Styela clava: one gene and its partners. The protein of the gene in region 1 binds, or shares a complex with, the protein of each later gene. Links are inferred from orthologs where the notes say so. Each region holds a gene or a part of one and is shown in the gene's direction. Other genes may lie near its edges.

Region 1 (10,140 bases):
CTATTTCCAGAGTTTCTTCCCCTCATGGTCATTACATATATTAGTATAAGTATGAATATAAATTTATCTGTGGCTAAATTTTAATTTCCAAATATAAATATGCAAGAAATAAAGCAAAAAAATAATAGAAATATCTAAAAATATTTATAGACAACTCGCAACTAAAATAATTCGTTAACGTTTAACTGTTTCTGCCTTTTAGACATACACACGCCTTGTATGGCTGGTTGGCAAAAATTCGATGGTTACTGTTACCAATTCCAACACATTGAATTGTCTTGGAATGAAGCCGAAACATACTGCAATGAACAGCACAACGCGACTTTAGCAAGTGTACACTCAAGAAGAGAAAATGGATTTTTAAACAGTAAGTTTTTTTATGATTATTCTACTGGTAGTCACGTAAGTAAGCAACAAAGTTGAGTTGTCGGATTCTTGATCAAATCATCTTGTTGGACACGAGACAGATGGAGAGACGTTTATTCAAGGTTTTTGTTCCTGATATAATTTGTATTGTGAAAAAATCGCTTTCTTACAACTACTACACCAATGGATTTCAAAATTATTTCAGAATATAATTATGGAAGAAGTCGCTTGAAGGCTATTACATTCATTTCATTCTAAATTTTCTTCAAGTGCTATGGGGTTTGAATTTTCACTCGAACGTTAGCTTGTTTTGCGCATATTATACCACCACATGGCACGCTGCTTGTTCACCAATCTTTTCAGCAGGCTATCGGCCCTACCGATGATGCACAACCTCCATGTTCATATACTTAATTATTGTTGTTGTTTTAATTTTTATTTATTGAAGTATAGTTAAAAGTTGGAGGTTGAAATGTACATACATTTATGAAATATGATTCACAAGAGAACAGAATTGCTATCAAATTCGTAAAAATAACTACGTTCGATGCTTTTTCCTTTAGTGTTTCTTTTCGAACAACCACTACCACCAGATCTGCGTTTTCTCACGATTTCTCTTAATTATTACCCCAAACTACTACTATCATGGTATTCCGTTATATTATATAGTGATACACAGGTAGTTCATCGCGACTGAATAGCTTAATTGTGTCTTCATACGTTTGTCTTTTAGGGTTGGCTTTGGATTATCAATGGATTGGGTTCAATGACTTGGACGAAGAAGCAAAATTTGTATGGTCTGATAAAAGCCCAATCGTGAGTTTCCAAATGGGGTTTGTGAGAATAATTATCACTGACATTGATGACAGGTTTTCTAAAATGAATAATATTTTAAAATCAAAAATAGAAAGACGAATAATAAATGCAATAAAACTGTCAATGAATCAATCAATACTGGTTTTTACGTCTTCACTATATTGTAAATTGGACGATGGACAACTATGTCACAATGGGTATTGTGGTGAATCATTCAAGAATCCAACAGACTCCAGAAGTTGATTCGTGGGCAGTCTATACTAGTATAGTTATAATAGAGGAAACTTCATTTATATTTATTTATAAACCAATATTTCTCTTCTGATTCAAGGCTTTCCTCAATGCCATATGAGAGTTTCACTCTCATGCCATAGGCCCTTAAATTACGTGGCCGTAGAAAGTACTTGCCCAAATTAATTAAAACGCCAATTCATTATGTGAAGGAAGGCTGTACTGCGGCCTGGCGTGTCTGGAGTCGTTTTCTTCTATTAACTAGAGTGACACCGGGATATCGGGTAGCTTGAATGTGTCTCAAAGTGCTGCTTCTGTTAGTATTTTATGTTTGACTTCTTTCTCAGTATGATTAAATGTTAGACTCACTGCCTCAAAGGTGACGCTGCTCGATAACCATCTCTGGTTTATCGCGTTTCCCTTCAATACATTTTTTTATCTTTCTCAATTACGTTTGTCCAATGTGTACTTTTGGTTTGCGGGAAAATAAACTACCTCCTGGCTGACTGTATCCAACGCGCCCACTCATTTTCATGTAGACCTACAAACATTGGCGACCAGGACAACCGAACAGCTTGTTACAGGATTTAGAACACTGTGTCGTCATGCTGTATTTTAGAAGCGGACAATGGAATGACGTTCCATGTCATTATGGGATCAAATTTACCTGCAAAATGGCTCCAGGTAATAAGAAACAAAAGTTCCATTAGTATAAATAAACCATTAAATGACATTGTTTGGTATACCAAACTGTCGGATATATGTTCGACTTGGCCCCACAGCATACAACAGGGAAGGCCAGCTTCGAATGTCCTTCGAATTTAAACAACTAATTCACATTTCTCCACGTTTCCGTATAAGTACATAATCGTAAGTATTTATCGAAAACATACCTCTCTACTTTATACATTCATCATTTTTTCATGAAACGTTGTACGTAAGTTTTGGAGATACTTGTTGGCAATAAACTCAGAGTCTTTAATGCTATTTAACAAAACTTTTTATACCTTTAAATAATACTATCTATAAAATAAATAATCCAGTGTGAATTTCTTGACAATCTTTAGTCGGCTGCAAAGAATTACCCAAAATTGATCATGCCTCTGTGATTGATCCAGTAAGATCATATGGAGTTGGACAGTTTGTCCAATATCAGTGCACAGACGGGTATCGAGTGTATGGAACTAATCATGTTGTTTGTCAAGAAAATGGACAGTTTTCAGAACCACAGTTTACTTGTATTGGTGAGCTTCCTCTACTTATATCCACATATAGCAATGTATTTAATTAAAAAGGTTTACAATGTTACTAAAACGAACAACTATATTTATTTATATTTTCTTATAATACGAATGCAATAAAATATGCCCACCAATTTTGGATTCCTCGTGAACAAATATTATAATCCAAAATTCGTCGCGATGGAAAGATAAAATTAAACTTGAATTATGAATATTATTGCGAATAAGACCTTACTCAAAATTAAGAGCAGACATATCTATGGAAAAATGAAGAAGTCCAAATTTTTTAAGTATAGCAACTAGAAATGGACATAGTATGAACGAAAAGAAGAAAAAAACTATCAAAAACTAAAGAAAATTTTACTTGAGATGACTTTTTATATTTTCAGATGTCCCACATGATATGTTTTCTCTTTTGTCTCCTTTTTACCAAATATTAAAGATTGATGAAACTACATTAATTTATACCATAGCAAGAAATCTTAATGATATCCATCCAAGTCTTTCGATCATTCTAGATTAAAATAAATTATTATATTGTTTTTATTCTTTCTTTCAAGTTTCGTGTCCAATGCCTCCTCCGGTGAAAAATGCGGAAGTTCCTTTATTACAAGAGAGATATTTTATTGGCGATGTTGTCAAATATGCGTGCAAGCCGGGCTACCGAGCAAGAGGACATGCCTTTTCACGATGCGAATATGATTTGACTTGGTCTAAACCTCGCCTTGTTTGTGCAGGTAAAAAGCCATTTATATACTTAGGTTCGTTAATGCGATTAACTAATGTTTTATATTTGTATTGTGTTTAGGAACATGCCCAGCACCAACCATTGTTAAAAACGCCGTATTAACATCATTTGTGTCCACTAGAAGACAGATACGCTTTGGACAATATGTTTACTACAGATGCAAAAACGGTTTCGAACTGAGTGGAATACCAAGAATAAAATGTGGGCAGGACGGAGAGTGGGAAAGTCCTGAATTCGCATGCCACGGTAAGTTCCAAATATTTTATGAATTTATTGTAAAATTTAGAGATTTACTGAAAATAACGAAAAGAGCAAGAAGGACAGAAAGAAACGTTCTCTGGGCCGAAGCATCACTTCTGAATATGTCAAAGGAAAATTTGATCACATCGCCCTACTAGTCATGAAAGCATAACACGTTATATATACATGTTTACAGCTGGTTGTCAAAATCCACCGTCCGTAGAAAACGCTCGCACAACTATACAAAGGCGACTCAACAGAGAACAAATACTTGTTGTGTATGTATGCTTACGTGGTCATGAACCACGGGGACGCACATTGGTTTATTGCACAAATGGAGAGTGGACAACGCCAAAATTTACATGCAATAAAGGTATGTCATCTTAATGGGTTATATTAAGTCACGCAACAATACTGGATTGAACCACATGTGACTCATTAAAATGCGTGTTGTCCAGTCCATGAACTTTAGCTTTGGTTCTAACTGGAACATTGTATATTATTAGAAAATAAAAGGCGTAATAAAATGACAAATGATGGAATTCATCAAAATACGTGTCGTCTACAGAATTTTCCAAATCAAGTTTTGTGGCATAAGCATCCGGACGTATGGAATATAAACTTTTAGTGGTATATTAGATAACTATAATTATCAATTGATTCAAGTTCTGCTTGAATTGAACGAAGAATTTGGCAAATGTTTATCAATATTGTAGCTTCGTCGAGACGAGACTGGAGAAGACCTTCCAGACCACGTCGTCCTATCGTAAAACGAAGTCTTCTGCAAGGCGATAATCGAACTTGGCTGAACTGGATGCTAAGTCTTATCAACTAATAAATGCAATTCAATATTAAATCAAGATCTCACGACACGAATAATTATGTGGTGAATGTATTAAACGCTTGAATTTATTTGCTTTATTTGTACTGAACCTTTAAATAAATAATCATGCAACGGTGGCCTACATACCGGTATATTGGACTCGCGAGTATGAATTTGTATTCTCCAGTTCCGGTTAGCGCAAGAATTACAGTTCACGTACCGAATGTAATACCCTGCGCTCCGAGCTGAGAAGATTGCCTTGACTCTAGTAGAGCAGTGGACGGCAAACTGAGCTCATGAACGATTCTTGGACCCCCGAACGACCTCATTTTAAATGCATAAAATAAAAATTGCTCATCAATTTATTAATATCTAAGCACGGATGTATGTAACACGGAGTTTAAGGCAGCATTTATTAGGCGCAACGCGCAACACTACCGTCAATGTGCATATTTGGTCAAGTACTACATAAACTTTGCCGTCCACTTCAGAATAATAGTAGATTAGGAGTACGGTATTTTTCAATTAAGACTATATATATATATATGGTAATGGCGAGCGATTGACCAGCGGGTAACAAGTGACCCACCTTGTTTTTCAGTTACACGTTAAGTCACAAATTAATGTAAAAAAATGGGCTTTCATTTCAGTGATAAACGCAATTTCAAACGGGAATGCTTCTAATTTCATCGGATATGTAAAAAAATACACGCTCAGGATTTTCAAAATTTATATAGAATCAAACTAAGCAAGATAATTTTACGTGATAACTAAAGGTCTGGACCAGACATGGGCCAAGTACGGCCCACGAGCCAACTCCAGTCCGTTGGTTAATTCAATCTGGCCCGCATGATGCTGTGACAACCAAACTAAAAACAAATTTTGATGTTTTAGCTAAAATAACTCAAGGAATTTGTTGAAATTGCGATTAAATTCAGTCTTATTAGGAGGCTTAATGTTTTTCACCTTTGCTTTGTAACACTATAAATAATGTTCATAAAATGTAACTTTTTACATCACACTTACATTGCCCGCCAGACTAGGTGGGCAAAATTTTTGACCCCTGGTTCAAAAACCTTACCCACCGAAAGAAAGCCAAAACAAAATATTCTACACACACTTCCTCCGAAAATCGTATCCTATAACTTTTACAACTTACACCTCAATAAACAAATTCAACTCCTGCGTCGTCACGCTTGGACGAATAAAAACAGTGTTCCCATAAATAAACTTTTGAACGAAATATAAGCTCTCATAAGATTCATAGAAAATAAATAAATAGGAACAAATAACAGAATGGCCTCCTAGTAACAACAACAATCTTAGATCATTAAAAATTTTCAAGAAATCGAATCAGTAGTTGAAAAGACAAATGATTTTTTCACAGCAACAACAACAACAAAAAAACTCAGAATACTAACAACAACATAATATTATTAATAACAAAACGATCTATAGGTTCAGTTCGTGTTTAATAATAAGTAAATAGTAAAATAATATCAGGTAATTACATTCCAAAATAAAATTAAAATACCTAGTATATCTAAGTGTTTGTCAGGTAGTGACATTCGGAGAATAAAATGACGTATACAAAACCGCGTGTCATTTTACTCCTTTTTTGTCCATGGTGGACGTCCGACTTTTGCACGCTGACGGCTCTCGCGATTTTGGTTAAAATCTCGAAATTTGGTTGGGTACAGAACTTCTGGATAGTTTATTTTACGATGTCAGGCACACTATATACATTTCCCGACAGTTTCCGGGCACACAAGATCCTGATTGCTGCTCAATATAGCGGGAAGACAGTTAATGTCTATCCAAACTTTGTTGCTGGAGAAACAGATAAATCGGCGGAATTTCTCAAGAAGTTTCCGTTTGGGAAGGTAGGACGGTGAAGATCCTTTAATTGTTTTTTTGTCATTGTCTAGCTAACTTAGCGGGTCTATCGATCTTTCCCATATTCTGATATTGCTGTATTGGGATCATTTCGACTGACTGTTTGACGAGAGAAATACGGTACCGTACGGGTCTCGTGTAGTTTCCTACCTAAGGTACTTCTAGTATGCGTAGCATAACAATTTTTTCACGTGTCAATCCTAACCCCCACCTGACCACACCATCCAAAAATTATGTCACAGTGACGTAATAGAGCCTTTCGAATTATGCCAACTCTCATCCAAGACGCGCAGACGAGAACCCGAAATCGAATAGCCATTTTTCTCATTTTCTCGTCGCAACGATCCCGATAGGAGAGAGATCGCTGACGTTAGTCAGTTCTTTATCGTCGGCGCCGATGCCATTTCGGGCGATCATACGAGTATTTGACAAGCTCTATGACGTGATTGCGACGTCGTAGAGACATAATTTTTGGATGGCGTAGTCAGGTGAGGGTTAGGATTGCAATGTCAAAAAATTGTTATGCTACGCCTATGAGAAATACGTTAGGTACGAAACTACACGAGACCCAGAAATACATAGCTCAATTTTAGGCGCGCGTCTTGGATGACAGTTCGTATAGTTTGAAGGGCCTTATTACGTCACTGTGACGTAATTTTTGCATGACGCAGTCAGGTGGGGGTTAGTATTGACATATGCAAAAAGTGTTTTCTACGCCCATCAGAAGTACCGGTAATTGAGGCACGAAACTATACCAGACCCTAAACATATTTATTACGGTACATTACTTTATTATTAGAAAGATTTAATATTGTCACCAAATTCAATTCAAGCAAAAACTAACTTAATTCCATTCAAACTTTCTTCATACTTAATAACCTACATTCCGACATTTCTAAATTATTATAAATATTTAATATTGTCATTAAATGCAGTTCAAGCGAAAACTAATTCCATTCAAACTTTCTTAAGTCTCAATAATTATAGTAATTTTTTCATCCTCCGCAACACTTTTCATCATTCTTAACTTAAACCCTTTGAAAAGCATGCACTGATATCTTAACAGGTTCCAGCATTTGAATGTGGTGATGTGAAGCTATTTGAACCAAACGGAATTGCTCATTATGTTGGAAACGAACAAACCCGAGGTGGAGACAGAGAGGCAGAAGTAAGAAATTTTGGCATCCTAATTTTTTATATAGATTCAAAATCAAGCTACAATTTTAATATTGGAAAATTCTGCAATATTACTATATCCATTGCCATGCATGCACGTTTAGTTCTTTTCTGCAACAACGGCTATGTTACTTATGGATTGAAGTAAACATATTTTTCAACAATTTAAATGAATTGGATTTCAAAATTTGTTTTCTTAATTTCGTATTCAGGAACATATTTTCAACCTTATTTTAATCATTATTTATACATCTATCTGTCATACAGTAATCAAATGTTACTAAGAGGATGAAGGTTATTTGCTTATGATAGGATTTTCATATTCACCCTTGGGGAGAGGAAAGTCAATAGGATGGCATAATCACATGACTTGCCTTGGCCTGTCTTCGGTAACCAGACCATGTTTGATATGGTATCAGGATAGGATTTACATATCCTGGGGATAGGAAAGTTGATAAGACGGCATTATCAAAGAAGCCGTAATTGACCAATGGTTTCATCAACCACCCTACGGCGGCGAGGAGTCCAGCAATCCTCTTGTAAATAACCGTCCTTGCGTGCATAGGATTCGAACCTGCAAACCCACGCAAAGTAATCCTAGGTGCGATGGCGGGCGTATTTCTAAAGTTTAGCATGATGTGCCACACTGCCGAGCCATCATTAGTTTGTCAGTTATTTGTTTAATTGCACTGGGTTCGAACCTGCAAACCCATGCAGGGTAATCAGAGGTTCAGCGGCAGACATTTCCCAATGCTGGGAACAATATACCATTCCCCAGCCTTCACTATTCAAGAACTCAAATAATCGACTTATTCTAGGTACTACAATGGATAGGCTTAGCTGACAATGTTATTCTCCCTGCAGCCTGCACGTGGGTATATCCGACCAAAGGAATTCTTCAGTTTAACAAACAGGTAATAATAAGAGTTGTATAGTGTTACACCACAAAATAATTTATGCTTAAATGGGATGTGAGAATATTTTAGTTATCACTGTTTTTCATTTTTCCATTTATAAAATCAAGACACAGTAACAAATAGGGTGTGTTGATTTTTTCAAATGATTGCTAGAGTTGAAGACTTGTTACTGATGCCCTATTCTATTCTTAAATAAACAGGAAGTATGGGATGGGTCATATTATGACATTCGGTATCAAATTATTTGATGAGATATACAAAGTTTTTATTTGGGTAGTTCAGTTTTCTTTTGATGACTTTCAAATAATTTTGGTCTGAAATTCACAGAAAAATTGCTCTTTACAGATGGTTTTAAGTAGGGGTGGGCAAAATCGAAAAAATTTTCGAATCGAATGATTTGAATATTTTTAACGAATAACGAATATTTTTTCATTGGCCGGTTTTTACGGCGATATCCTGAAGTTGGATCCCGCCCGTTCTCTGTTTTTTGCGAGGATTTATTTATACAGGTTGCGTTGGTTTTGGTCTTCATTATTTATCAACTTTTGTAAATTTACCGTCCGAATTTTAAGCGTGCGGTAATATTATCGATACCGAGATGCAGATTTTTATTATGACGATAATTAACTTTCTTATGCTTTTCCATGGTGCCTGTGTTATTTTCGTATTAGAAAGATTAACCTCGCAAAGCGATTGCATCAATCCTGAATGTTGATTCGAAATGTGATTAAATAAATTGACAATAAAGGCATTTTCCAGGTGGTCATAAAACAAGATGACGTTAATAAACAGCACTTCTTGAATAATATTTTATTGTACATATGCGACCCAATGCTAAAAACATTTTGCGCTCGAGTGCTTTTGTGCCGAAAAATTGGTCAAGACACCTCTTATAACTAATTTTTTCAAGTTTCAACCTTTTTTTTTTAACAAAACAATATCCCGGCAACCATTATAGCTAAAATCGTTTCAGAGTAATTCACAATTTTAGTTACGAAATTTGCAAATTCACCATTTCACTTAAAGATTTTGACAATGTCACGTGACTGTCACGTCCTAATTTTTTAGTGCAAAAATGTTCGAATATAACGAATGTATTCATTTCCGATGATGATAGGCGCAACAATTCGCAAACGAGAGAGTGTGCGTTGTAACATCGAAATTCATGATTGATTTTACGATCTAGACTCGTTCACGATTTTATCACTCAACCGGACATGCATGACCTGGTAAAATGTTCATCTTTTTGAAAAATTACTTGCTCATCGATGGAAGGGTTCACTAAAGAGCTCATAGAAAATACATTAAATGAAGTTTGGCTTGTCATTTCTTTCCTGGTTATAGCTTATAAGCGTCATACCATGAATTGTTTCTCGAAAAGGTAATTTCAACTTTTAATTTTCTATAATCACTTTTATGTCTGGTGCGATACGTGTTTATGCAAAATGGGGAATTGAAACGATACGTTGGGCGCAAAAAGAAAGCAAATCACACCATAGCGCAACGACAACGATTTCTCAAATTTGTCGCCTTTGTCTGTTAGCGAGCGCTGAATGTGAATTCTCACGCGATTCACGATCGATTTGGAGAGGCGCGAGTTCCGTGTCCAAGCAAAGTAGCGCAGGTCATGTGGTTCCAGATATTCGAATATTGATCGATCACCACATATAAAATTGCATAGCAATG
Region 2 (10,838 bases), on another chromosome or scaffold:
TACGATTGGAAATCATTCGCAATATGAAAACCAACATATTGCAGTATTGGCATTGCTCTGAAAATACTGTAATATGCTATTATCCATGCTACAAGAACTGATTTCAAGATTATTAGTGTCCGGTATTTCTGTACCTACAGACCACATTTCAGCATTTTCAGTTAAATCATGAAATATGTCAAATTAAATAGAGCAAATTACGACCCAGCCTACATCATTCTGTCTGTACGGCTGTATATTCTGACATTGTGGATTTGCTGTTGATTGATCAACTTGGAATATCCCAAATGAACTGTAGTCGGGTAGTGCACTGTGCATAGTGGACAATTCCACACTACTAAGTCAAACTAGGCATGACATTCAATACTCACCACCCTACAGGCTACAGCCCTAACACAAATCCAAAATGACTACCTGTCCCCACCTACAAGAACAACTTACAGTCTTCTAACTCTGTAACTACAAGTCCAGAAGTCAGCAAGTGCAAAAGCTGAAAAGTGCTGAATTCAAAAAGGATTCTCAAAACAATCAATAAATTAATACTCACATATAGGAATTCCAAAATGAATTTAAAAGCAACAAGTGGTAAATTTCTGACTCAACGAACTTTTTAGTTGTTCATGATAATAAAATCATGATAAAATATTATATGCATCTTGGTAGGATTACTAAAATTTTTATGCCAGTGATAAAAAATATTGGAACCGGTATGTTAGTCGTTGATGGAAACAGAACACAATGGGAAATTCAAGTTGATTACTATGGGTACAACAGAATAGCAAATGATCCAATAACCAAAATCAATCCAAATAATTGAGTTGGGGAACTTATCATTTAGATGTCATGTCTGGCTAAATGTATGCCAGTTTGAATATGGTGAAGTAAGACCCTCACTCCTCAAATTTTTTTTTGTTAAATACGATGCAGCAATATTTATTCCTGTTAGTTCCACACTAACATATGATGAAAATAAATTAATTACAAATTTAATATTCAATAATATCGCACCAAAATGCATTGAACAAAACCTACCGGTATGTGTAAATATTGTGTATATACGGTGTCGTCTCATTGGTCATCCATCGCTTTTAATTTTTTTTAATAATCTTAATCGAGTGAAGGAACATTAATGCAGTAGGATGGGATAGGATTTACATATTTATCCCGAGGGAGAGGAAAGCCAATAAGACGGCTTATCCATATGGCGAACCACGGCCTCTCGTCCGCTTACCATTCCAAGTCGGGTATGGGATTATTTTTACTGTATTGTTTGTTTTCGGAAGCATGGACTTGGTGGTGGAGGAAGCCGTAACCGACCAGCGGTTACGTGAACCACCCAACGACGGCGAGGAGTCCAGCAATCCTCTCGCACATAACCATCCCTGCATGGGATTCGAACCTGCGAACCCACGCAGAGTAATTAGAGGTGCGGTGGCGAGCGTATCCCTAACGCTTAGCCCGTTGAGCCACACCGCCGCGCCAAGAACAAAAAATATCGAAATCAACAGCTAAAAAGTAAAGGGAATTCAGGTAAACCCCAAACGAAACATGATTTTACTGTTAGAATTATATATTGTGGCAATATTGATCTAATTAGCGTTATGAAGAAAAGAAACATTTAAATAATCACAATTTCGGTTTCTTATTCGTTTGCGACCGTAACACTATTGTTGACCGCAAGCAGTCTAAGTGCTGTAACCGGACGCATTTTCTCCATTCTATAGAAAGTAAAATTTTGTATATGTAAACAATTACCAAGTTAATTTTCCATCTAAATATATTGAATTAATTAAATTTTATTACAATCACAACAATCACACTTGGTAACGAATAACCTTATCGAGATTATCAGATACAATACGGTCTATGACATGCCGGATTGTTACAGTGAAGGAATGACGAAGACCTGGATTGCTCCATTGTGAACTGACAGGCAATATTTGCAAAACTATGTAGATAAAAATACATGCAGTTCAAATTCAAAGCGTGATGGACTTTTGTAAACAAGAAATTATTCTGTTGCATTCTAGTTTTATTGTTTAGTAGGCTATGCCATCTCCAATTCGACAGTGGTGGTGGGGATGTAAGCAGTGATGGTTTTCCAAATTTACGGTTACATACTGATAACGCATAACCATCTTATATATTTAAATTTATAGAGTAAACTAATCTATAATATTGCTGCTGCAATTTTCATTAATAATCGCTTTGTACATATACACTTCATTTTCTCAATGACATTAACCCTTTCCGTGCGGTGGGCACGTATACGTACCAACGACAAAAGTCGCTAGATTGCGGCGGGTACGTTGATGTACTCCACTGTTTTCTTTAGCAATCGGTCGCAAACTGTTGGTCTAGTTTTTCCGGGTTTTAGTTTATTGATAAGAAGTCTTCTTCGAGATTAACATAAGCGACGGTAAATCTCGCTCTCGTTTACGACGGGAATTTTATTTGCGGCGGAACGAGGGAGTGTTTTTGAAATTTATGCAAATTTCGATGTTTTTTGGGTGGTAATAGAAGACATATTATCCATTCCATCTACCAAAGTATTTTGAGTTAGATCACGAAATTGGTACAGCAATATTATGCTATTGTTTGCCAACCACGAAACGGTAACAGTAAAGGATTTAGCGAATATTTCTATTTTTTATCACGGTTTGAAGTTTCAACTCCCAAGGAAAAAAAAATGCCTTTTTTCTATCCGGGTTGTGACTCAGACCACCACTTTTAAAAAAACTTTTTTTTTCAATCGCCAATTGCAAGCTCTTTGAATAAGATTTCCAACGAGCCGTCAGTGGGCAGCAGAGGATCATTAGTTTTTCGTTAGTCGATCGATTAGTTGTGGGGGTACAAATGCGTAAAATCGGCGTAGCAAATACGATTATTTAATTAAAAATAAAAATCGCATGGAAAGGGTTAAACAACATGATAGGCAACTCTGACGTCACTCCATAAGACTACAGGCGAAACATTGTATTTCATGATACGCTCCAATGCACATATTTCTCGTCGACTTTCGCGTCCGTTTTCCGCTCGCTTTTGCTACTCGGCGTCTTTTTTACGTGTAGTACCTGTCTTTTTGCGTCTGTAACGAAACAAAATAATCTCTATATCTAAGAAGTTTTGCTCACTTGGAAAGCTGGAATGGCAGGCAAGCTGTAAAGAGCAATTCTGGACATCATAGACGTTTTTTTTTTATCAGAGAAGATTACAAACGCGATAGCGGAAAGATTTGTGTGGAACATTTTGCAGATAATGACAAAGTTCAAAGTTAGTAATTTTAATGTTTGCGCTTAATCATTGAAGTTTCTTTTTAGGAGGGTGTCATACAAAATTGTGCTGTGATACAATTCCATAACACAAAGTTTGCACCTATCGAACTTGCTTTTGTAGGTGAATTTATTAGACATATTACATATTCAGTTAATCGTAGGTAACATTGCTGGTACATAATGCATCGTAGATAGGTTTGTTTAAATTTAGGAATTTAGCTCATAGCCCACTAATTAATATTATTTTCTATGCGGTAGGTTGCAGGGCTGAATTCAACTTGCAGCCTTACCGACCACCTGACGATGCTCATTTAGTTTGGCTCGAGCAAGTCTTCTTGAAATGCTTGTGTGGATGGAAACTACCTATATTATTTGCCTTCCTCCGATTTTAGACAAATTTATTATGAGGGATTTCACATATCATTCTCATTGATGGTTGGCTGTTTATAATTCCTATTGATTGTGAATTCTGATTATAACAAAGAGTTAAAATTTTTTTTATCTAATTTACTGGTACCTTTTCTTGTCAATACTCCAAGTTGAGGTAATAAACAAGACAATACATTTATGTCATCTGGAAGCAAAATATGCACACTAATTAATAGTTTGGCACATTGAGATAATACATCATGACAGAAAATACAAGTTAAAGATATGTATGACCATCACATGGTAATTAAAATTAAAAAAAATTAATAGGGGCTGTGGAGTATGAAAAGTTCAAGACAAAGAAAAGAACAAATGTTCATAGCTCATGAACTCTCAATTTTGCCTCCATTGTTTTGTGAAGGCCAATATATTTCGAGTGGCTAAATTGGTTTACCTTTATGATAGCAACGATTTTGTATTTAATATAGCGAGATTATTTCAATTTAATTGAAGTGATATTATTTCCCAAAGCAATGCTTGAATCGTCTAGAATAGATCAGTGGTGTCAAACTTATGGGTTTTCGAGAGCCGCATTGCATTTTGGAAATTGTAAAAAGAGCCGCAAACAGTTTTTGATAATGTATACTTAAAAGATATTTTTAAGATAGTTTTAGTTTGTGACATATATTGTGATGCAACTAAACAGTTGGATTAAGTTTTATTATTTTCTTCAATTTCAAATGCAATTACATATTAATATTTGCATTCCACTATTATTGCAACATTTGCAAGTTACTGTAGTTATTATGAAAAATCATAAAATTCTATGTACAACCATCAAAATCATTTTTGAACAAGCTTTAAATAAGGAAAGAATAATACATACACTAAAAATAACTTAATCTAAATATATGAACCTAAAATTAACAAAAATACTACAGTATAAACTCAATGTTTTAATAATTACATTTGTCCTGACGTTTGGCATCTTTTTTGTGTCACCAGCATACTAAGGCCAGGCTGAAATGATTTTATAGTACCAACTCTAACTAACGAGGCCACATGATCATGGGTTAATCTGGATCTTTGCGAATGTTTAATCAATTCCAGTAATGCAAAAAAAGTACTTTTATCATTTCATGTATACTGTAGATCAGTAAAAAAACAAATGACAGATTTTTTCGACAAGACATTTCGCACCACATTGCGTGGCATAGGATTGCTTGAATTATTATTGATATTGATTTTTAGTAACTAAGTCGTTGTATAAATATATTAATATACAAACACATGGAAATTTTCTGTTCGAAGTGGGTCTTCGAATTTGTCATATTGACTGCTGAGCTTATTGTGTTTTTTCATTGTATTGATAGAAATATGACAATTTTGCGAAAAGCAGAAAAGTTACAACTCCCATTTTCTTCGAAAATGCCACCTTCTTCATGTACTTTGCGTTTAATTTAATCACTCAAGTGTTTATTCAAGTATTCTTTTGCAAGCTTGATGTGTATTCTTAATTGGGTCAAAATGTGGACAAAAAAAATTCATATTCCAAAACTACTTTCAGTAAATTGTTTTCTGTGTGAATAATCAATTTCACTTTAAAAGGTTTGAAAAATCTATTACATTTAGATAAAAAAAAAATAAAAATACTATTACAATTATTGTTAAGCGTTCGAGGGCCGCACTCGAAGTTCTCTGGGGCCGCGAGTTTGAGATCTCTGGTCTAGATTGAAGTTGTCCAAAAATATATATGATAGTATTTTATCATGAATGATGATTATACCCCTTCCGGAATTTCTTCTATAGTACTACCAAAAGGTGATGAACCAAATATAACACAGGTGCAGTGAGTTACCCGTAATCCTCATTTTCCAAAGCTGTTTCAAGTATGTCTGGCGTGTTTTGTGCCTCTTTACAAATAAGACCGAGTATGTAATTTTACGCTTTGCAATTTTTAGTTATTTTCCTCAAGCCCTGCAGGAATCAGGATGTAGGGGTCATACACAACTCTACCGGAGGGTCAAATGTCTTTGCATGTCACTGATATGTCGCCAGACTTCTGATATCTCCCCTTCTGCTATAGTTGTTCTGTGAATAAATAATAGGAAATTGTGATTAGACGAATAATTGAAAGTTTTGCTTTATGTCGGCTTAATTTCTTGATTGATATACTTACTATTTCTGCTATTGCCTCTTGTGCTGCAGGAGTCTCACAATGCTTAGACAGGTTTGTCCACAACTTTCACATCTGAAGAAAGAGAGGAGATTTATTAATTTTCGTTAAGAATAAATAAAGCAGTCTATATGATTTAGAATGGAAAAGCTAATGAATCCAATATCTCATGTTTTATGTAAAAAATATTTTACTGAATTTGGTCAATAAAACAAACTAATAAAAGGGTTTAGTCAGAAAATTACAAGCATTCGTGGCTCCAAATATTTGAGAGATCAGACTATACAATATAGACCGGTATGAGTGAAATGTTAGGTGGACTTGTTAACACTTTGATTCAATACGCAAATAAAAGTGAATGCGCAATAGTATGTTACAATGAGCAGCAATCAACAATGAGTATATATCCTCACTGATTAAAAAAATCTAACTGGAGGTGCATGAACTATTTGAAACCATAAGGGGTAAGTAAATATGTAATTTCGGCAAATGGGCAACCACGTACCGTACTGCATGTATAACTTCGTAGTATTTGACAAAGGCTGACTTTCCCACATGTACTTAACAGTGCGATGCCCGGGTGTGATATACAACAATAGTATTTACCTTACCTTTTTCCGATTTCTTTTTACCTTAACTTTCCAAAATATCATTAAAATCGACAACAACTGTCAAAGCAGGCACGAACACCATTCGTGCTACGCCTTGAAAGCAGCACACATCCGCTCGTTTTCGTCTCGTCAAGTATGTGCATTGGAGCGTGCTATCGAATACGATCTTCGGACAAAAATGCCGGAGTTGCGCATCATGTTGTTTAATGTCATTGATTTTCTGGATAAATTCGGCCCAAAATCTGTTTCGTGGCACGAAACCACGGTTTATCGGCAAAGCAATGAACCGTGTTCACTGAAGAACCCTTTTCCCAAATTTTGCCACGCGTTTGGTTTGGATTTCGTTCTCTTCTTTTGTTTAATCGCCGTAATTTCTTTAAAATGGGTTTCGGAAATTTGAAGAGTGACTGTGGATTATCTGCACTAAATACCTATCTCGAAGATAAAAGCTATATCGAAGGGTGAGCTTGATTTTTTTGTAAATTATCTCGTGTAAATGGGCATAAAAAAGGTGGGCAGGGCAGTGACGTCATACGCGAACAGTTAAACATATTTTGGGATTCATGCTTGCAAATACTGTAGGGATTACAATGAATACGGATTTCTATATAAAAAATATCAACATTTCCTAAAAAATAGTTATCTTCCCATACCGTAAAAGCGCCTAACTTCGGACAAAATTACTATATTTTCGTCAATAACTCGGCCATTTATTGTCCAAACGTTGCAAATTCGTGCGGTAATTTACATTCCCTGCAAATTTCGGTTCAATTGGACTATTTTTACTATTGAAATAATCGATATTTCTTGCCATCTGACCGTTATCCTTCACTGCCCTAACTTCGGACAGTCATTTTCTTCACTGCGTAACCGCGACGCACAGAGAGAAAGAGGCTTCCGATGCGGATGACGTAATCACGTCGTTGCGTGAAGATAAGACGCTCGATCGTCGTCGTAACGTAACATTGACGTCACGACGAAAATGCATTATTTGAAACTTCCGTCGTCCTATGTTTACATCTTTCGTTCGTCATTTTCGATACTTCAGATGAGTATAATAACACGTTAGTCATTTTAATCAGGAAATGCATACGTAAATATATCTGATGCAAACCGTTTCAATCCACAATGAAGTATTTTAACGGGCTTCTATCGAAGTCTTTGAAGTATTAATATTTTTATTCTGCGCGGTTATCTTTATAAATGATAATTTATATCAAACACACGGAAAATCCGATTGTGAAGTTTAATTTAAAATTCAACTTAATCTTGTAAACATGTAGGTCCCGTTTATTTGTTGGAGATTAAATTTATTTTTAATTTCGAGTGAATAAAATTCACCCAGGCCTCAATAACTGTCATTTCGACTACTAATCATAAAATAATGGTCGAGTCAGTGCACTGTGCCATATGGACGTTGGAATTTCCATAGTTTTATATATTCGATTTTTAACGTCATCGATTAAGTGTGACATGTATTTTCATTAATGTAATTTTGGCATATATTCATACATGACCGAACAAAATACAAAAATATTACATTGGAACGCCGTCTTTATCTTAACGGAAATTGTCATATTGGCTCCGTTGTGTCTGGCGTCAAAATTCATTTCCGCGACGCAGTGTGACGTCGTGTCGGAAGTGAGCGAAAAATAATCTACGTGAGTTTGACGTAATTTTTGACGCTGCGTGAAATCTTAATATTCTTACGGAATTTATAATTCAGAATTTTAGGTTTTATTTAAATCTCGTACGACATCTTGCGATCACTCAAATGAATTATATACATTGTTGTCGCCCTCTACCGAATGATGGTATTTTGACGAGGATAGCTTCAGTAGGAGCGACGCTCTGCGCCGTTGAATGGCGGGCAGTCAATTTTCGGCAAAATTTCCGTTTTTTCACCAAAAAAATAAAAATGCAACATTAAAAAAGATGAGAATAGATGTAGATATAACAGCGCAACCTATAATAATTAAAATTACCAATATACGGCGCGTTTTAGCCAAGATATGGCCGTTCAAAAATTTTGTCCGAAGTTAGGAACTGTCCGAAGTTAGGCGCTTTTACGGTATTGCTGTATTGAGATTTTTTGAACTTTATTCAGTTATTGGACATTCATTTAAAACTTTTTCCTGCGTTTTATGATTTGTAATTAGTGTATGAGGAAGTAAAGGCCTCATGGGTTTGATACATCTGGAAACCTGTCTTGACCTAATTTAAAAACTGCTGGGGCTGCAGCTATCTTTTTATTTTCTGGCAGTTGAATTGTAATTAAATTTTGCAAGGTGGTATTACATTACCGGTATTGCCATTTAGTTTGGATCGAGTGAAGTAGATACCATACCGTAACTGCTTAAATAACGCCCAACTAAAATGTGATGTGAAATTTGCGCAAGACGGACTTTCATTTCTATAAAAAATTGAAAATCTGGGTTCTATTTTCACATCACATTTATGTTTGGCGTTATCGAAGTACTCACCGCATTTGTGTTTGCGGATATTCAAGCAGTTACGCTTACTTCACGAGACCCTTTAGTTTTTTACCAACATGTTCACACAGTAAAATAAGATATTTGTTTTAAATTTTAGGTATGTTCCATCACAAGGAGATGTTGCCATATTTGAAAGTATATCCGGCCCACCCAATGCCAAGCATGTTCATGCGTTACGTTGGTACAATCATGTTCTCTCATACAAATCACAATTTGGAAGGTTGGTAAAACAGTCAAAACTTTCTACTATAATCCATAAAACATTGGTTTTACTATCGTTCTCAGCATTTTATTAAAGAAGTCTTACATATGCCAAAAGTTTTGTTAATTAAATTTGATGGTCAATAGTTAAGTATTTTCAACCCGAAGTTTCTTGTAAGTTGAGACCGTAGCTTCGTTTGTAAAGTGTGCCTAACTATGATTATCCTGCTGCAGACACCTTAGGGCAATTTGGACCCCACTGAAAATCGAAGCGCATCTGGTCGGGATAATGGTATTATGATTGAAAGACTGGTGATTCTGTCAGATCACACCTCACTCCCCAGTGCACAGTGATGAAACCTATTTACAAAGCTTTTCATGCTGAGATAATAATTTGGATCGATAGGACTGAGTGCACAGCAACATAGGGTTGGTGTAGTGTTATACCCTCCCAAGTCTGAGAATCAAATAAAATTTTGTATTGTGCGGTCTACATACATCCAGCGGCAGTGTAAGTAGTTGGAATCCTGCACTCGCCCTTACATAGTGTGGTGGCAATGTTTGTTGATGCATCAAAATGATGTGAATGGATTGATAACTTGTAAACTAGCGGCTCGCACGGCGAGTTATCTCAATTGGATTAGATCCTATTTATGTTGATTCATCTTGATAAGGTAAAAAACAGTCACTTTTACTTTCAGCCTTCCTGGAGTGAAGAAACCAATTGCTGAATATGGAGGTGCTCAGGCTGCAGGTTTGAATATTATTATCTTATTATTTTTACATAAAAGTGCTTTCATATTATGCATACTTCATACATATCCTAAAAAATGACTTTAAATTTGTCCATGTTCAGAACTTAACATAAAATCATCTATTCGGTTGAAACGTTATTGTACATATCGTTGTGGCGTACCTCTTTGTATTGTATTGCATATTGCGCATCCGTGTCTTAGGCCAGTAAGGTCTTGAACATGTATCCCGTCTCTGTATATCGTTCAATTATTATGCAGATACTGTTATATTTTTGAGGCAAATAAACATACATACATACTAACGTTTATGTGCTCAAAAACCAGCTCATGTACCCCAAGTAGTAGTGATTTAATATTTCGTATTATAAAACCACTTTATAATTTGAAAAATACTTTTTTCCGATCATAACATTTTGAATGCCTTGCCCACTTTGTAGTAACCTCGAGATTTTAAACTCAAAAATTTGAGAAATAAAATAGTGAGCTCCCGTGGCTACGGCAGTAAATCGAATACCACCACTTTTGCTGCCGTAACCATGGCATGTCGGCTGTAATAGCAGGGCTGCCCCTGATGGTGATAAATATTGGGTAAGTTGGAACGCTTTTTCGTATGAATACAGTTTTGATGTATTTGGGGTTAGGTTGAGGTTTAAGTAAATATAATTAAAATATTGTACATGATTTTGTTAATATACCGCTAATAGTGCCATGAAACCATGGCAAGAGACGCTGCGGGGCGTTCGTGGCAGGAGCTGCCATGAAGTAGTAAGAACTACGCCTCCACTTTGGAATAATCTCGAGATTTTAAACTTTCAAAATTTGAGAAATAATTTTTTTTCAATCCTAGCCGCTGCTGATGACGACAGCGACGATGGTGATGATGATATTGATTTCTTCGGCTCCGACGACGAAGAAGAATTAGCCGAACAAAAGAGAATCAAAGAGGAAAGACTCAA
Region 3 (10,788 bases), on another chromosome or scaffold:
AAACAGTGGGGGCTCCCGAAGTATGCGAACCAAGATGGCGGACATCGGAATGTAATATGTGTACTAGGTTAGGGTTAGGCCATAATTTTAGGTATAAATACTGCGGGAGGCTCTTGGCTAGTCTTCGAACTGATAATAGGACTAAAATAAGGAAAACTGGAAAAAAAATTATCGCCTAACCCTAACCTGTTACCCATGTTACGTTCCGATGTCCGCCATCTTGGTTCGCATACTTCGGGAGCACCAAACAGTGTTTTTAAACGGTGCACTACAATTATTCGTAGATAGCTGCGCTATTTGTGATGGGCTACAATTGATATTATGATTTGGTTTATTACCATTCATTGGTATCAATTTGAGATACCGTATTTAATTAAAAACAAGCATAGCAAACTAATTTAATCACCTCCTGGCACAGCGTTCTCCGAATCACTACCCGCATTTCCGTCTGCTAAGTTCTGAAACGTAGGCCATCTCGTTGGAGAGTCACTTACATGTGAACAAAAAATACAGCCCAGTAAATAACTAGATGAGGATGGTAAAATAACACAGGGATATTTGCCAAATCACAAAACAAAATTGCTAGCAATGCAATTCTTTAAAACTGTCGCTTTTTTAGCACGGTATGTCTACTTACGACGGAAAAATTGGGTAGACATTTTCCTGTCCGCTTAATTATTCCACGTTCCATAATTAAAACGTTTTGCTATTTTTTGCTGAAATCTCTTTCTCTCTGATAAAACAGTATCAAAAACAATATGTTCTTTCAATATTTTTAAAATATCTGCATATTTTTGCCAACTTTGAGGGGACAGTAGTTCTGCTGGTTTATAATCAACGGGTATTATTTTCGTACACTAAGCGGACATTTTGTTTACGCGAAAATCTTTTAATTTTTCGGTATATGTCTTTACGATTTTTGGAGAGTAGGATTGATAATTTTGATACAATAACCAGGCAGAACATGAAGATCGTTCGTTCTGTTTTTTGCAATATAAGCTCAATAAACTGAAAAGGACCTCAATTCACAACTCCGTACTAGAGAGGCTTTGTGTCGCAATAGTAAAACTGTCGGGTTTGCCGAGAACTTTACCTACCACGTTTGCCGTTTTGTTCGCAAGTAACCTGGACGCCGTGAGGGGATCGGGATCTTCATGAGTGCGGGATTGCAGAAATTTAGATAAAATAGAACAGTTGTGTTTGGAGAAGCGATCCAAGTCTTTTGTGTCAGGTGTTATCAATTACCCAGTGAGTTGAAGTCGAGTCATAATAACTTGAAACAAGGTTTTCAACGTCACCGAAGAATGCTGCTGGAAATCATCACTCATCGGATAAGGTGATTAGTCATAACGATTTTTAATATTAGGGCTACTATATTATATTCATAAGTGATTCAAGAGTCTTGCTGCACACTAACACAATTTTATTTACTATGTATGTCTGAAGGAGTCTGATCTTGGTCAGACGAAACGTTACAGAAATATAATTGTGTTAGTGTGCAGCAAGACTCTTGAATCACTTAGGACTGTAGGATAGTTATCTTTACTCTTGCTACAGCATCCTTATGCATACGGATCCGCCGACACAAAAGCATAGAAGAAGGATAAGTAGTTAGTCCTGCAGAAACCAAATCATTAGCATATATTTTTGTTTTTGAGATTGTTCACTTATTCCTGATTATCAAAAGACTACTGATACTGTTATGCTTTTACTGGTCGTAGTTCTGATCTGACCATCAAAATATTGCTACGACTGGGTTTGCGTTTGTAAGAGTGTGTAATTCAGAAGGATTTCTAAATCCAGATGACAATACAAACGAAGATTGTGAAAATTCAATGAATTCAAATTTTTCTCGAAACAGAAGGAGATACGAGAAGCGAGTGGTTGACGCCACTTTATATAGGTTTGTATAGCTTTGTATAAATAAAAATATCTAATACACCGCTTCATATTAGATTAGAATATTTTATCTTCGGAAAACAGTTTTAAAGAATTGCATTGCTAGCAATTTTGTTTTGTGATTTGGCACATATCCCTGTGTTATTTTACCATCCTCATCTAGTTATTTACTGGGCTGTATTTTTTGTTCACATGTAAGTGACTCTCCAACGAGATGGCCTACGTTTCAGAACTTGGCAGACGGAAATGCGGGTAGTGATTCGGAGAACGCTGTGCCAGGAGGTGATTAAATTAGTTTGCTATGCTTGTTTTTAATTAAACACGGTATCTCAAATTGATACCAATGAATGGTAATAAACCAAATCATAATATCAATTGTAGCCCATCACAAATAGCGCAGCTATCTACGAATAATTGTAGTGCACCGTTTAAAAACACTGTTTGGTGCTCCCGAAGTATGCGAACCAAGATGGCGGACATCGGAACGTAACATGGGTAACAGGTTAGGGTTAGGCGATAATTTTTTTCCAGTTTTCCTTATTTTAGTCCTATTATCAGTTCGAAGACTAGCCAAGAGCCTCCCGTAGTATTTATACCTAGAATTATGGCCTAACCCTAACCTAGTACACATATTACATTGCGATGTCCGCCATCTTGGTTCGCATACTTCGGGAGCCCCCACTGTTTTATTTGAGTAATAATGCAATTCCCCATTTCAAACACTTCGTTTGTTCGGTCAATCAAGAGTACCGTAATTCTGAATTGGACTAGAACACTGTGATGATGTTTTGTGACTTATGCATGTATTTTTGACCAAAGTTTCAGATTAGTCAACAGACTATACCGCACCATCTTCAGAATCACTTTCAATAAGCAATGTAAGTGACTTAAAAGAAACTCATATATACGGAAAAGAAAAGGGCTGTAAATCAATTCCAAAAAAAGCTTCTAAATAAACGTGAACCAGAAAAGAAACGACGAAAAGAAAAATAATTGCACGGCTTTGTATATCTTGCTAGAAGTTTATTGTAAAGCTTCAAGACATCTCTGTATAATTCATAAAGATGAACCGGCAGTGAGCACATAATTTTGTCTCTCCTCAACAACTTAATCTAGTGGGCATATCCACATTCGTATACATACTTGGCATACATTTTTACTATTTAATTATAAATTCAAAATAACAATCATGTTTTTGTATTCCGAGTTGGTGCAAAAATTTTAAATAAATTGTGCAAAGATTCAAAATTGATATCGGGGTTGAATAATTTCATGTTGATCGCTTGTATAGTTGACTGTATAATCACTGCTATACTTAGGCGCGCCTTGATAGGTAGACATTTGAGTTATAATTGGTGTAATGTTTCTCATTTTAGTTGACATGGCAAAATTTCATTTCGCATTTATAGGCCCCACTGAAAACGCCACTTAATTGAACATTTGAGATATGTTGTGTGTAATGGTTCTCGATATTTTTTTTAGAGAATTTCGTGTTTTAATTACATACCTTCTGAAATGGTCGGATGGTTGAAATTTTTTTTGAATGCTTCCTAATATTATTGTCATTCCAAAATATCATTTTGCATTTACATGACACACTTACGTAGCTGAGTAGATGACGATTTGCGATATATTTTCTGTATTGTTCCTCAATATGGTTTCAAAATTTTGTTTTATAATATTTGTCACTCTCAAGTTATCGGATAGGTGAACATTTGAGATAAATTTTGAGCAATTTTCCACAACATCAAAATATAATTAGTATTCGAAATTTCGTATTTTAGTTATATTTCACACACTAAAGTTGACATTTGAGATATATTTTGTGTAAGATTTCTCAATATGATTTCAGGAATTGGTTTCAATAGTTGTATGCTACACTTAGGTAGTCGGGTATTCGGACATTTGAGATATATATTTTGTGTAATGTTCTTCAATATCATTTCAGAATTTTCATTGTGATTGTTTTATGCCACACTTAGGTGGCCGGATAGGTGAACATTTGAGATATACTTTGTGTAATGTTTCTCAATATGATTTCAGAATTTTCATTTCAATTCTTGTATGCCACACTTAGGTGGCCGGATAGGTGGACATTTGAGATATACTTTGTGTAATGTTTCTCAATATGATTTAAGAATTTTCATTTCAATTCTTGTATGCCACACTTAGGTGGCCGGATAGGTGGACATTTGATTTATACTTCGCATAATGTTTCTCATTACGATTTCGGAATTTTCATTTTAATGTTTTATGCCACTCTTAGGTGGCCGGATAGGTGGACATTTGAGATATACTTTATGTAATGTTTCTCAATATGATTTCAGAATTTTCATTTTATTGTTTTATGCCACACTTAGGTGGTCGGATAGGTGGACATTTGAGATATACTTCGTGTAATGTTTCTCAATATGATTCCAGAATTTTCATTCCAATTCTTGTATGCCACACTTAGGTGGCCGGATAGGTGGACATTCAAAATATATTTTGTGTAATATTTCTCAATATGATTTCAGAATTTTCATTTTAATGCTTTATGCCACACTTAGGTGGACATTTAAGATATACTTTGTGTAATATTTCTTTATATGATTTCAGAGTTTTCATTTTAATGCTTTATGCCACACTTAGGTGGTCGGATAGGTGGACATTTGAGATATACTTTGTGTGATATTTCTCAATATGATTTCAAAATTTTCATTTTAATTCTTGTACGCCACATTTAGGTGGCCGGATAGGTGGACATTTGAAATATATTTTGTGTAATATTTCTCAATATGATTTCAGAATGTTCATTTTAATGCTTTATGCCACACAGGTGGACATTTGAGATATACTTTGTGTAATGTTTCTCAATATTATTTCACAATTTTCATTTTAATGCTTTATGCCACACTTAGGTGGCCGGATAGGTGGACATTTGAGATATACTTTGTGTGATATTTCTCGATAGGATTTCAAAATTTTCATTTCAATTCTTGTATGCCACGCTTAGGTGGCCGGATAGGTGGACATTTGAGATATACTTTGTGTGATATTTCTCAATATGATTTAAGAGATTTCATTTCAATTCTTGTATGCCACACTTAGGTGGCCGGATAGGTGGACATTTGAGATATACTTTTTGTAATATTTCTCAATATGATTTCAGAATTTTTATTTTAATTGTTATATGCCACACTTAAATGCCGGATAAGTGGACATTTGAGATATATTTCGTGTAATGTTTCTCAATAGGGCTGGTGTTCATTTTTCAATTACGTGCCACATTTGAGTGACCGAATAGATGAACATTTGAAATCGAATTTGTGTGATTTTTGTCTTCATTAATGACATACCAGAATTCCCATTTACAATTATTTGGATAACTTAAAAGGCCGGATAGGTGGACATTTGAGATAAAGTTTGTGACACTCACAACATAGCATCTGTTTAATCTATATGTTACACCATAGGGTTGGAATATGCGAACATTTGTGATATGCTCTGTGTATTTCTCAGTTTCAAATATATATTACGTTTGAATCAATTTGTTTCGATTTGTCTACCTTCACGTTGCATTTTGAGTATTTTTTGACATGGAAGATTATTTCTAACACCAAACACAGTGCCTCTCCCTTGCACAAAATACTGAACATTGAAAAAAAATGCTATTTTCTGTGATAAATAATGCTAAATGGTTCGCATCCATCGGAAATTAAAGCGAGGTCATACGCTTTAAAATGCGTAATAAAATAAAAGCAGCATCATTTATGTAGACATCCAGGGCGACATATAAGAGGGGTCCGGCTTAGTGCCGAAATAGGCTAAAACATTTGGTGGTCTGAATTAAGTGGACGAATTAAGCGGACAAAAATTTTATATCTGTTATCGAGAGGATTGTGTTGACTCTTTTTCTCTGTAGTTGTCAACGGCTCTCGCGCTCTCCAAGTACGTATTTAAAAACAATGATACAGACACAGGAACGACGTCCGCTTAAGTACTGCAATTATGGCAGGTCCGTTTAACTACCGTAATAGAGTTATATATATATATATATATCGCCACACCCATCGGGTATTTAACACAAGTACGTGGATTTTAAAGAAATTGCAATCAAGTTGATTTAAGCGTTGGGAACACTCTCGTCGTCGCACTTCTGATTGTTCTGTATGGACTCACAGATTTGAATACCACGGGGGATCATTATGTACGAGAGAATCGCCTTACTCAATATCGTCGAACATTGGCTAATGTATCCTCTGAAAAGTACGCTTTCCGTACAATCAAGTCTATGAGACTGAAACGAATGAAAGGTTTAATATGGCATAATACGACGCTTAGTCGCGCCTTTTGCCACGAAAAGCTCAGGAACGAGCAGCCATTGATACCTAACGTCATCTTAAAGAATCTCGCCACGGATTTATTTCTCTGTCGAAGTTATCCAAGCTATATGGGCGCTCATTTACAGGCTACGCCTATGGAAACTACTCCCAAGCCGGCTATTGACTGGTAACCGGACGAGAGGGCATTATTCGTAATATTGTTGAGTCGTATTATTGGCATTCCCCTTTCATTTTATAAATATGAAATTCATATTCTATAATGAGTCCTAATATGGTATAAGAGAGAATATAACACACTGGGCATTTCTTTTAAGTGACACCTTCCACTAACATCTATTACAAATGATACGACGATAAATAACCCTCAGTATGAGGAAATTTTGCATAATTTGGGTAGGTTATGCAGAGCATAAAATATTCTGTTCCTTCCAAATAGTGTATACTTCCAATTTCAAGTATCTGGAACGCTAAACTAGAGAAGTAAATATACCTATAAGCTCGAGATAAAATTATATATAGGTGGATAGAGTTACAGAGACTGGAAATTTCAGTTGTTTTGTTCACCGGATATTGCAGTAATGGTGCTCTGAGCACATCCGGTAACATGCTTCATTTCACGTGTTCATGACCTTTCACCTTCTGATTTTCGTCAGTTTCCACGATTTTGGTTTCTGTTCCATCCTTCAACTTTTCTTAATTTCGTGGATCAGATTTGATTTTATTGTCTATAAAATGCCTTCAACCGTCCCCATTTCACATTTGCTGTCGGATGTTTGGTTTGACCGACCAAAGGTTGAAGAAGAAGAATACAAATATGAAGTGTACATGGCGAAACAACGGGTAAAACCAGCAGCAAAAGCTGACAAACGGGTGATGGTGATAGTATTTTAATAGCGGTGGTGGTAGCTTACTATGGTTTTGTAGTTGTTTTTGAAATATGGACGTTTTCATGTACTTGATAAAATAATCGAAATGAAACTGTGTTAGCCTATAACCTAACTTTAAATCTCATTCAAAATTATCAAGTCTGTACTGCTCTTAAGTCAAATCTCTCTGGTGAATTAAGCCTGATTTATTTTTTTCAATATCTGAGGCGAATTAAGCATAATTTTAATATTTAGTCTATTATTTGAATAAATGATAGCCTAGTCAAAGCATCATCCATATCTGATTTAATTCGAAAAACAAAGCAAAAAATAGCATTACTAGTAATTTTAATAAATCACCCTGATCAACCATGCTCTGATAATCACACAATTGTCTGAACCCTACTAAATTTACTCATACCCAGCATCCTGAGCCCCAACCAACATCCTCGACCTGTTGTCTGAGTTCTCATCTCAGTAATGCAAGGTCATAAAAATATTACTGTATTACCCTGTAAAAGTCGCCACTTACAGACTTACGTGTTAATAATTTATGAAATAATTTATTTCAAAGTAATTCAGATTTTACAAATATTACCGGTACTTGTCTCATAATACTGTAATATTTATGCATGAATTGTGCAAATTTGAAAATCTTTTCATTCTGTGGTATCATTATAGACCTAATAATTAACTTTTAATTATATGAAATTCTAGGGTGCTTGTGGTTCAGGTGTCGCAGAACAAATTGCTCAAGCCAGACAAAAAATACATCAAACACTACAGGGATCTGATACTGTATGTTGCAGTTTTTTTTAGATTACCATATTATAGTAGTTATGTCTGATACTTTTTTATATTTATTAAATTTGTTTATCAAAACTAGGACCCTTTATTCCAACTTTCATATAAATCTATATTTTAGGGAGTTAGTGGCAATGACTCTGGGAAAGTCGATGCAATACGAAGTGAAAATGATGATTTGAGGAAGTTGGTGAACACCCTCGTTGAGAGAATGAATGCGATGGAAGCACGACTGAGCAAACTAGAGTCTGGCAGTAAAGAAACTGCCGTGCAGGTTGTTAATTGTATGAGTTGGTCCATTGCAAATTGCTGAACATCAATTTACCTTCTTTTATGTTTGTTTAATGCAAGTATAGCCTTCTAAAACCGAAATTGAGCAAAAATCAGAATCTGACGATGATGTTGACGACATGGATTTCTTCGCATCTGACTCTGAGGAAGACGATGAATATGAAAAAATAAAACAAAAAAGATTGGCGGAATATGCTGAAAAAAAATCTAAAAAGCCAGCTGTGATAGCAAAGTCTAGCATTCTACTCGATGTCAAACCTGTAAGTTTCACTTATTATTTAGGTTTTTCTAATGAGAATTTCACCTACTCCAGCATCCAGAACGTACTGGAAGGACCATGTGTTGTCTGGCATAATGAATTGTATGTTGCTTGACATTTAGTGTTATTGGGTGGTTTGTTAATATTATACTTTTTTAGGTGTTATATATTATCATGGAATTATATTGAACAGTGTTGAGTGTTTATAGCTTTTATGTTTAGGTTACATAAATGTATTTTGTACTTGTTTATATGTCACTGGACCATTTGTGCAATCAATTAGATCTTGTGTTGCTCATTTTACTAGCAATACAGGCCTATATATTTTGGCAACTAGGGAATTTAAGTGTGATCACTTTCCAAGACTAATGATGTTAGGGTCAACCCCATGTGTGGCTTGTATTTAGAGCAGCAGTTCTCAAACTTTTGAAGCCGTGCCCCCTTTTTAGAATTTGTCAAGTCTCGTGCTCCACCTTGAAAATGTGTCCCCTTTTAGGAATTTGTGAAGTCTCGTGCTCCACCTCGAAAATAACTACAGTAGCTAACAATCAGCTACAAATAAATAACTGATGATAAGGCGCGTTGGCGCAAAAAAACGTTGAAAATACGTGGATTTAACGTAAATAATGAAAAAAATTGTCCACGCGCCCACAGTTTGAGATCAACTGATTCATAGCCTTGTTTGCAGCAGAAGTGTAAATACAACAAATTATAAAAAGAACGTAGAGCTTGTTTCTACTTTTGTGATTGTGATATTGGTCTCCTTTTAATTAGGAATTCTTACCTTCATTATTAACAGTGGGATGATCAAACAGACATGGGGGAAGTGGAGAGACTTGTGAGGAATATCTCAACAGATGGATTGAAGTGGGCAGCATCGAAATTAGTAGAGGTTGTATAAGATTTTTGCTATGTAGTTGAATTGCTCCCTGCAAGCTAGATACATTGAAGTAGAGGCCCAATTGATGTGTTACCTTATTAGTTATAACGACGATTCAATTTAATGTTTGTGGAACTATAAAAGCAATATTGTATAATATGAATATAACAGTACTCTGTAACCAACTGATGATTGCCATTACGATATGCCTAAAGTAGTTGTTATAAGTATTCTTTTGATTGGTAAATTTCCATCTGGATGACATAACAATATTGAGACTGTATGCATTGTTTGTTGCAAGCACAATCATATCGGTAAATGCAGCCTAGTTCAGCTCATTTGAAACATCATAATGGTACAGAATATACTATTTCGCAGGTTGCGTTTGGAATCAAGAAACTTCAAATCAATTGCATTGTTGAAGATGATAAAGTTGGAACAGACTTCCTTGAGGAGGAAATTACTCGTCATGAGGACCATGTGAGTTTGTTATTGCGAAATTCAATTTTGAGCAGGGTGGTGAGTGGTGGAAGTCTTGGGTAACCTCAAAAGATGTTATTGTCATCACACAGTCGTTTACCAAAAATTAGGATTTTGAACAGTTATATTTTAGTATTATATATCATGTTTTCTGGCAAACCAATCGAACAAAAAACTTCTCAGCAAGTATTACTGGTATTTAAATTAAGTGATATTGGTCTTAAAATGTTTGTCTATACAATTTGAAAACCAAATTTTTGTCTGTAAATTTGCTTTAATTCCTGATATTTTTCATAAAAACCGTTTAATGTATGATTTTTATTACGTTACGCAGGCAACCTATCATGTAATTCTATAAAAAAATGTATAAGCGTGGATTTTTGACACTCATTTTTCATATGTTCTCCCTTTTTCATACTCTCTACTTTTGCAGGTTCAAAGTGTGGATATTGTTGCGTTCAATAAGATTTGAAGATCATATTTAATTAAATCCAATTCTTGCAAATAAAATTTAGACTATTGAAAATTTGTCATCTTTATAACATAGGAGAGACTCTGAAATTGTGCTGCTGCTGTGTTTACTATTTCTTAGAACCAGTTCTGATTCTAACAGGTTGAGTGCGCACAAATTTATTATGATTTATTAGGTTTCATAGAAATCGTGGGTTTTTCATAGCAACCAATGATTTTTATACAATGAGCCATCATCACATTCCGGATCTATCAATCTCTGGGTAATCCCATGATGAATGTTGGGACGAGCAGGCACACAATCTCCTGATGTTTGGGACCTATAGCCAATTTATATACCAGGGGATCGATCACCCTATTGATACCAGACATAGCATGTGCATTATAGCTGGGATCAAGAAATGTGATATCGGCTGCTTCAGAACAATAGTAGTTCCTGAATAAATAGTGTATGTACGTACATCAGTTTAAAATGACGTTCTGCTTAGCTGACCTTAGTTAAAACTAAAGCTC

What was found.
Region 2: the proteins of elongation factor 1-gamma-like (region 1) and elongation factor 1-beta-like are in contact, whole or in part, in a crystal structure (PDB 5DQS), measured with the Homo sapiens proteins. The link is inferred for Styela clava from reciprocal best matches to the Homo sapiens genes EEF1G and EEF1B2. Residues at the interface, in NP_001395.1 of Homo sapiens: Leu146, Lys147, Thr148, Arg149, Thr150, Phe151, Glu155, Arg156, Pro185, Asn186, Arg189, Leu192, Thr193, Asn196, Gln197, Pro198; in NP_001032752.1 of Homo sapiens: Ala20, Asp21, Lys22, Ser23, Tyr24, Tyr28, Val29, Cys50, His51, Arg54, Asn57, His58, Ser61, Tyr62, Glu65.
Region 3: the proteins of elongation factor 1-gamma-like (region 1) and elongation factor 1-delta-like are in contact, whole or in part, in a crystal structure (PDB 5JPO), measured with the Homo sapiens proteins. The link is inferred for Styela clava from reciprocal best matches to the Homo sapiens genes EEF1G and EEF1D. Residues at the interface, in NP_001395.1 of Homo sapiens: Tyr9, Trp13, Arg14, Phe40, Gly41, Asn44, Gly56, Lys57, Val58, Ser104, Val107, Pro108, Ser111, Thr112, Phe115, Ile120, Met121, His123, Asn130, Glu134; in NP_001123527.1 of Homo sapiens: Ala2, Asn4, Phe5, Leu6, His8, Glu9, Ile11, Trp12, Phe13, Lys15, Phe16.

Annotation. Positions count from the first base shown.
Region 1 is NC_135261.1:11,229,572-11,239,711, forward strand, and holds the start of elongation factor 1-gamma-like, read left to right. Parts: upstream 1-6,073; 5' UTR 6,074-6,189; coding exon 6,190-6,348; intron 6,349-7,427; coding exon 7,428-7,529; intron 7,530-8,355; coding exon 8,356-8,451; intron 8,452-10,140. Other genes in the region: uncharacterized protein LOC144430572, read left to right, coding at 203-367, 1,100-1,182, 1,953-2,097, 2,481-2,657, 3,215-3,391, 3,463-3,648, 3,839-4,015, 4,359-4,477. UniProt on the Homo sapiens protein: Probably plays a role in anchoring the complex to other cellular components.
Region 2 is NC_135263.1:4,632,542-4,643,379, reverse strand, and holds the start of elongation factor 1-beta-like, read left to right. Parts: upstream 1-6,733; 5' UTR 6,734-6,812; coding exon 6,813-6,892; intron 6,893-9,023; coding exon 9,024-9,146; intron 9,147-9,828; coding exon 9,829-9,881; intron 9,882-10,729; coding exon 10,730-10,838. UniProt on the Homo sapiens protein: Catalytic subunit of the guanine nucleotide exchange factor (GEF) (eEF1B subcomplex) of the eukaryotic elongation factor 1 complex (eEF1).
Region 3 is NC_135255.1:3,746,163-3,756,950, forward strand, and holds elongation factor 1-delta-like, read left to right. Parts: upstream 1-6,859; 5' UTR 6,860-6,956; coding exon 6,957-7,094; intron 7,095-7,807; coding exon 7,808-7,888; intron 7,889-8,015; coding exon 8,016-8,168; intron 8,169-8,250; coding exon 8,251-8,445; intron 8,446-9,243; coding exon 9,244-9,336; intron 9,337-9,702; coding exon 9,703-9,804; intron 9,805-10,237; coding exon 10,238-10,276; 3' UTR 10,277-10,330; downstream 10,331-10,788.